Drosophila melanogaster: one gene and its partner. The protein of the gene in region 2 interacts with the protein of the main gene of each other region in a pairwise test. Each region holds a gene or a part of one and is shown on either strand. Other genes may lie near its edges. The genes, in order: CG15080 and Cpr65Ec.

The links.
Region 1: the proteins of Cpr65Ec (region 2) and CG15080 interact in a two-hybrid assay, tested with the Drosophila melanogaster proteins (one large-scale study listed by BioGRID).

Annotation. Positions count from the first base shown.
Region 1 is NT_033778.4:18,781,320-18,786,519, forward strand, and holds the start of CG15080 (uncharacterized protein), read left to right. Parts: upstream 1-1,979; 5' UTR 1,980-2,359; intron 2,360-5,200.
Region 2 is NT_037436.4:7,091,159-7,094,362, reverse strand, and holds Cpr65Ec (cuticular protein 65Ec), read right to left. Parts: upstream 1,160-3,204; 5' UTR 1,080-1,159; coding exon 1,068-1,079; intron 996-1,067; coding exon 624-995; 3' UTR 522-623; downstream 1-521.

The DNA of each region.
Region 1 (5,200 bases), on a different chromosome or scaffold from region 2:
ATGTCTTCTTGTCAGCGTTGCATCAGCATCAGTTGCGAATCACAAGCGACGGTTTATCTGCACCTGGCCCAAAAGATTCTACGTCTAATTGGTCTGAATTATGCCATAAAAACATGTCCAATTAAGTTGATCTATTTTATGTCGGAGTGTGGGAAATATTCGTGTCGAATTTTATGCAAATCTCGTTACTCTTTTCCGCATACGTCGCGGAAAATGCGCAAAGAGCTTGGGAAAAGCCATTCATAAACAGGGGCCTGAAGGTCGCGATCTGTTACCTTTGCCATTTGGCAGCGCCACCTTGGGCGTGTGAGCCATTTCAGTGAGACACCTGTGAAAAGGTCAACGCTAATTGCCGTCCCCCAACCATTGGCTGCCAATTGAATTCGATTGAATTTGATTCTCTATCTGCGAGGCAGGTGAAAGTGCTTTGTTCTAGAAACAGAGTTGCAAGCCAACTAAATAACATTCAGCGGAAGTTCAAGACGCGAGTCGCGGTTGAATGATCTCCGAACGCCAAGAGATCCCGTCACATAACTTAGGCCATGAGGTGGAAACCTTCCTCGTACGTCATCAGTCCGCACATAACTCACGCCCACCTGAGGCGGCAGGTGAGGCACACGGACAGACAGGTGGGCAGGCGTTATGACAAGTTGACTGATTGGATTTGCGGCGACGATGTTGCTGCTCCTGTCAATGCACTCATCGCCCGTCGCAATTGCCGCTGGAAAATTGAAATTGAAAAAAAAATGCGATTGAAAAGCGTCCGAGCATCTCGTTTGGGTTACCCAATGCATAATGGATAATGGCGGACGCTGAACGATATGCTAATTAACTTGATTTCCACGATCCATAAACGTCTCACTTAGACAATTGTTTGCTTAACGGAAATTGTGCGGCTGCCGGCATGAGAATATTTTAATTGCCCCAAAAGAAGTTGAAAAAGACCTCTTTTTAAGGCCAATTCTAGCAGACCAAAGAAATATTTGGCAACAAGCTGAGCACAAAAATGTATTTTAAACACCAAAATATTATCTGGAAAATATTATAAAAAGATTTAAATATTTATTTCTACCTGCGCTACTTGATTGCAAACATTTCAACCACATATTTAATCCCAATTTCGCACTTTTTGTTATTATAGGTTTTATAAAGTTTGTAACCAATTTGTAACAAAAGAAATGCGGCAAAGGCCAGCGAAGAAAAAATGGTTTCTACGCGTTTTAATTGCTAAATGTCAATCGGTTTATAGGTTTCCTAACAAAACAAACAAAAATACGAGGAAACGCGTACGAGAGAAGAAAAAAAAACCAAAACAAACAATTCAATTAAACTCATAATGGAATTTGTGTAGCAAGAAAACGACCTTGGCTGCAGAGCAAAGCCTAAAAAGCCAATTAAAAGCTAGATGCACGGCTCGAATGCCACATGGCACTGAGTCAGAATTATGGAATTGTTGTTATGTCTGGCCATATAGCCGCACATATACACATATATCACATATATCAGCGAGGGGTGTAGCACGATTCATAAGACCCCCACACAGTCGGATCGATTTTCCCAGCAAATGTGGTAAAAACTTGTCGCCAGCAAAGATTGCAAAACTGGAACAGCATCGCCGCAACTAACGCTAAAACAAGTTAGCATTTATGGCCGACTTGATTTGCATTTAGTGCATTCTTGTGGACACTCCCCCTTGGCAAAACTCTATCCCCATCCCCGTTTTGTTAATTTCAATTAACCACAACAAATCATTGGAGGATCATTTTTAGCTAGGAGCTATACCGCTCTGTTTGACCAAGTCTTTTGTTGGCCCAAAAGCTGTTAAAGCCGCTTTAGTTGCGCCGTTAACGCTGACTGCGACTGCGCTGCCTACTGATCTGCTAACTGCTCGGCCAGCGTCGACTTCGACGGAGGCAGTTGGATGAAAACCACGAGCGAACCACTCTTACTTACTTTGGCCCGCGACGCTTTTCATTTCTTCAGTCTGTTAACGGCACGCCAACGATGCAGACGCGTCTAAAAACCAGCTCCGGCTAACTGTTAACGCAAGATAGTAATAACTTGATTTGTAAGTGTAACACTCATACGCATCGAGTATACGCACAGTGGTACCAACGACATTTGATTTTGCATCTTTTGCCGAAAGTGCGTGAGCTTCCTGACGTCTCAAGTGGATAAAGTCAAAGTGAATTTCAAGAAATCGAAAATATAATTAATATACAAAAATAAAAGTAAAACGCTTGAATTGCTGCTAATTTGGCGAGTTGGGCAAGTTAGGATCTTAATTAAATTAAGCCAAGTGAAAGAGAAACAACAGCTGCCGTTCAGGAAGAAGAAGAAGAAGCAATAGAGGAGAGTGGTAAGTGGGGTTTTTATTTTTTATTTATTTTATTTTTTTTTTTTTTTTGCCAAAAAAGGCGAATAGAAATTTCAGCTCTCCATTCAACTAACCACACACTCAACGCATTCGACTGTCTTGGCAATTTTGCTGTTTATTTTTTCATGCTCTAATTATTTGGAAATTTCATTTTGTTTTTGCCCACCGACACTCGTTAACTGGCATGCAATTTGTTTGCCCAAAGACTTATGGACCATACATCTAACCAAAACAACCGTCCATCCTCTAGAGAGTCAAGTTGAGTCAAGCTTTATGGGCAGACTTCCTCGTTAAAAGATAAGGTGGCCAGACCCCTGACCAAAAGAAAAGAAACTGGTCCATCAGTATTCTGTGGGTTCGTTTTGGGTTTTTCATCTACATCTCTAAGTCTATCTCCATTGCCACTTCATTAACCCAATTTTCACCTGGAGAAATTTTATGTTTCGTACAAGAAAAATCTTGTTTATCAGGCCAATTTGCATACAGACCCCACTTCCGAGGGCCAGACATTTCTCTTCCCTAATCTTCGATGTGGCATCTGATCTTTAACGGAACTAATGTGTACACTTATTCGTTTGTTTGTCATTTTAACATGAGGGCAAACAGAAGAGGGAAATCATAAATTACGCCGTAGCGTCTTATTCGTTTTATATATGTATTTCTTTATTTATATTTATGCGAACTTTGTTTTTTTTTTTATGTGCGAGCGGACAGCGTTTTCGAAATTAAATACTTTCTAATTACAATAAACGCAGGCGATGGCCGCCGGCCGGCCAATTGCCTGTCGCACGTCCAGCAAAGTCCATATCGTAGCCTTTGGCAACGGGCTGAAATCACGTAGCCGCCGCATCGGCCAATGCCAGCCGATATAAAAGAGGGATGGGTTGGCAGCGGAGTGGTGAGGGGGGAAGTGGCGAAACAAAACTCGCGAAAGTGTCAAGAAAATATAATACTGCTCAGACTCACTTTTTCTTTATTGTCATGTCTTAATGTGGCGCCTGATGTGTTTATTTGCCACTAGCCTCCTCCGCCGCCAATTCATATTCCTACCCCTCCCTCACCTTCCTCCGATGAAAGTGAAACGTGCGAATGACTTTGCGTAGCTGCAGAAGCTTCCATCACTCGTCACTTAGCACGTGCCCAGCGATCCTACCCGTGTGGTCTTCGTCTTTCACGGCTTTCAATTACTCAACCGCATAATGTTCAATTTGTCAAGCGTTGAGCCCGGATTACGACTTTCTCAGCGGGCCAAACAAAAGACTTAAGACACAAACTTGCTTCATTAGTTGGCTTTGTTCGATGGAATGCGTTGCAGATCCTAATGCGCACAAGTTTTGGTGTTGATTACTCACGAATTGAGAAATCAATGCAACCATACCTTTGTTTATATTACAACTTAAATTATCCCAGATGATTTAGCCATACCAAAGAGAATTTCAATTTCAAAGATCAATATCGAATATGCCCAGCGGTCTTTCAAAACCATAATTATCTCGCACTAGTGACACGCACTGAATTCTAAATGTGAGTAATTGCAATGCATTCAGCAATATCAGATTCAAAGTGCATTTAAGCGGAGGTAAAAACTAAAAAATCAATTCAAATGGCTTCCAGGCCGGGCATTTATTGCTGGTTCGCTGGAACTAAATCGTGATTTGCAGTTGCATGTACGGCCTCCGTAAGACCCCCTGATCCTCCTTCGGCACCCCTGGAATACCCACACAGTTGATTAGTCAGCACCCGGCTGGTAGAGCAAGGCAACCATTTGGGGCTTTTTGCTCCGTTTTGTCTCTGTGTTTTCCTTCTAGACCGACAAGTTGAAGTATCTTGGCCTACTGAATTTTTTCTCACACTCCGTGTCTTGGTCACGGATGTGGATTGATTGCTAATGTTCATCTGGGCACATATATATCTGTATATATGTATATATATCTATCTGCGGCAGGCGGTTTATGTGGATACCCTCGCCAAGTTGCCGAGTTGCACAAGTCTGGTTTGGTCTGGGCCAGAATGAGGCCCACACTCGAGACGTGGCCAACAAGTACGGGTACTTGTGGCTATACATTTGCCGAGCCACTCTTGCTTTCTTCAGCTGCTCCATTTGGCGGCTGCTTTGTTTTGTCAGCGCTTGCTTTATGGTTTTTCATATATATAGAGTAGCTACTAGCAGCTACCTTAAGTATTGCTCTGTTGCAATTGTCACATTGTTTTGGGACACTTTTCTGCGGCTCAGTGGCGACGACGACTGTGGCAATAGTTTTGTAATTAGCTTGGCCCATCATTTGCGCAATTCGATTTGCGATGTCCCAGGTGATAAGTGATATTTAAGGCACTAATTTCGCTTGTATCCGGTTATCCGGCTTTTATTACGAGTTGCGCAACCACAGCGCCCCCGCATACCAAAATGTCGAGGGAGAAATACTTTCGCTTTCAAATGCTCGAGCATAAATTCTTGGGATTACGCAAGCTAAATGCTTGCGGCATGTTTTGGTTTGCTGAGCAGGTGCCGCCAATACCAAACCAAAACCAAAAAGCCACCTCCACCAGCTAAACAGCCACTTACCTCATTTGGAAAGCAGCGAGAAATGAAAGTTTTTGTTTTTTCATTTTTCTGCGTTGCGTGAAATTTACATTTCGTTTAATAATTTCAAACATTTCTTCGAGGTCGCTGTGGCATAAAATTTGAGGAATTAGTCGAACAAGAAATCAGCGTTTTTCCGTCCGTTTTCCTTCTGGTATCGAGTGGCTCTTTCCGGCAGGCCTGGCTAGCAACGCCCCCTAGCAATAGCAGCCATCAGACAGAAAAGTGCATTTCATTGTCGC
Region 2 (3,204 bases):
GTAATTTTTCTAGTTTTGCTTAACTTGATAGATCACAAATATTTTAAACGGCGCGCCAAACTCATCAACTGAGTTAAATAGATATCGATAGTTTTCTATCGTCTGCGTTTCGCTGTTACTGGCAATGAGCATTCACTGTAGTACCATAAACTTTTTAGGAGCCCTGGTTTCAACCAAACCGAAAATTGGCGCCAAAATTTGAATTCAAATTGAATTTAGAATTGTATGCTCCAAAAAAGAAGTAAGCATCCTTTAAATTGTAAGTAAAACACATATGAAACGCCAACTGAAATTGCGTAAAACTGTAAATTAAACTTAATTTGTACAAGCGTAAATGCACTCTACGTCGCAATACAATTATTAATAAAATGCAGTGCTAAATGCATGACTTTGAAGTACGTAAGTTAAAGAAAATGTCTTATTCGTAAGAACGAAATCACGAGTGTGATATTTTGGACTAGCAAATCCTTGCGTTGCCCCCGAATGCAATCTCTACCCAAATTCGACAACAGTCTCGACTTGTTTATGGAAATGGTTGATGGCTCAAACAAAGTTTATTTTCAAATGACTTAAAACTAGCTCGAATAACGCTCAACATGTGATGGTGGTGGTGGCAAGCCCATCTAGAATCGTCCTTGACCCTGGCGACTCTCCTGCTGGGGATGGGTGCGGATGTACTCCAGTGACTTCAGGATGGAAGCCGGGATTGGAGGAGGTGTGGGCAGATGGGCGCCGGCCGGGTGGTAGCCATTGCTGTCGGCGGTGTAGGTCAACTGGATGAGCTGGCCATCGGGGGCGTAGTAGGCGTTCGAGCCGCTGGCATAGTAACCACCCACGCCCGATTCCTGGCCAGCGATGCCATTGGACGTCTGGTACTGATAGGCATAGCTGCCATCCTCCTTCAGGTCGCTCTTATACTCGCGAGTCTCGGCTCGGGCGTCGAAGGAGTCGGCCTGGACACAGGAAACAGCCAGGGCGGCGACGGCAAGGACGAACTGTGGACGGATAAGGATAATGGTAGTTGAAAGAGTTTTCCTTCTGGTCGAACAAAAAAATCCTGAACTCACGAATTTGTTCATTTTTTTTTTTTTGTGAATTGGTGATTGGGCTGGGGGCTGACTTGTTGTCACTGTGAACTCGCAACGAGAATGAATATGACCGAATTGGCCTGGCATGGCATTTATAGCATTTTGGCACGCCAATCATTTTGGGCCGGGCACTCGCAGTCGCCGCAAAAACGCGTATAATTTGCAGCATTGAACCTGAACTGCCCCTCTCACAGATACGAAAAAATACCCACACACTGGCACTTAAAGACTCCGCTGGAGACTCTTCGCTGATTTTAGTGCTTTAGTGCTGTTGGTGTATGTGTGAGATAGTTTTTTGTTGCCCATAAACTTTATGCTCCTTTTTGTTCAACTTGTGGGTAGCCGGTTAATCAATTCTTGTGTCTGCGGCGAGGGGTTAATTTTTCATTAACACCTCCGCAAGTTGTTTTGGTTAGCGCAATTTGTAGCTGCCCCATCGCTTTATTTCCTTATAAAATGGTTAACCCGATTACTCGCAAATTATTTTAAAGCGCCTGGCTTTGTGGCAGGATCATTTATAAATGTTGCGCCTAGTCCCCGTTGCCAAATCATATGCGAAACTTTATAATAAATCGTTCGTAGAATCGGCGAAATCGATTAAGAACCTCACATGCTGGGTCAACGCATCCATTTATTACAAAATCACCAAGCGCGTCCAAAAATGGAAAAGCCAAAAAACCGAAACCGACGAAGTGGCAAGCAACCTTAGCTTGCTGCAAAAGCCAGACGAACGACCTTGCCACCAATATTGGCAGACTGTCCGAAAGTACGACAGCTTATCGACAGCCAAGCCGGCGAGTTTGTATTAAGTTTTGATAAGAAAACTTGCGATGAACCAACGACGAAGATGACGTGACTCACGGGGATCACGAAGCTTTTGGGGGAAAATTGGGGCTTTAACCTCGTTTCAATCGGAAAGTCTGATGACCTTAGATATTTGGGCAGTAAATTAGGCTGGGTATTTGAAAAGTAAAATAGAGCACCTAAATAGCACGTAATATATACATACATATATAGGTGCTAAAGTATATTGTCATATTTTGAATTTAAAGATGTCAAGAAAGTACATTTTTTTGAAAATTATTATTTTTTTTTGAATATCTTTACTATATCTATATTGTGCCCTTATTAAATATTTCAATATAGAGTATATATATTTTAAAAAAATGTATCTTAAATTTAGTGGCAGCAAACATTTATAAGTGTTTTAAACACAAGTCCAGAAATGCCACAACTATTATAAAAATTTATATTTCCATTAACAAACTTGCCCTTTTTTATGTGGGCCATATTAAAGGTGTCAATCTGCCATCGCTAAAGTGGCCAAAAGGCATCGGCTAGCGGCAACGAGCAGAGCGCACGCTGTTTCCCTTACAAGATTTGTGTTGGCCTTTCATAAGTACATGGCTGGAACGACTAGGCTGGCCAGTCCGGACCAGACCAGACCAGACTGCGTCTGCTGCTCGGAATGAATCTGATTCCGAGCTGGGGGGAAAAGTGAATGTGATGAGGGGCGATGTCGCATGGAGGCAGAAGCAGCAGCATCGGGAGCAGCATTATCTGCCTTGTGTTGGCTGCCCTCTGTTTTGCTGGCCTTTTTGGTGTTACTTTCGGCTTTTATGCCCCAAACCGGCTGTCCGGCAATTGGGCATATATTTTTTCTGTACATTTCTTTATATACATATATAAATCTTTTTTTTTTTGGCCAATACAATTGTCCGGTGCCTGCCGCTTGGGCGGCTTTAAATGAAAAGCAAAAGTTGTTGCGATTCGTTGGAGTTTCCTCTTTGCCATTGCCGGTTGCCTTAAGCCGCTTCCGCTATACTTAACCATCCTGCCCCTCGAGGTTTTGTCATTGCTGTTACTCCTCCTCCTCCTTCGCCTCTTTCAACTGCTCCTTCTTCAGATCCCCATCCATCCATTAGGGCATCAATCTATCTTCGCGCGCATTAAGCTGAGACAAGGAGCACCAGTGGAAAATGTACAAAAAGAGAAATGAAAAAGGGGACTTGCTTTAGTGCAGCGACTCCTTGGCCAGTTCCTCACGCTCACCTGCTCCATATTAATTGACCCACATTCGGTGGCGGCCACTCGTCCAGTCCGTTTCAGACTGGTC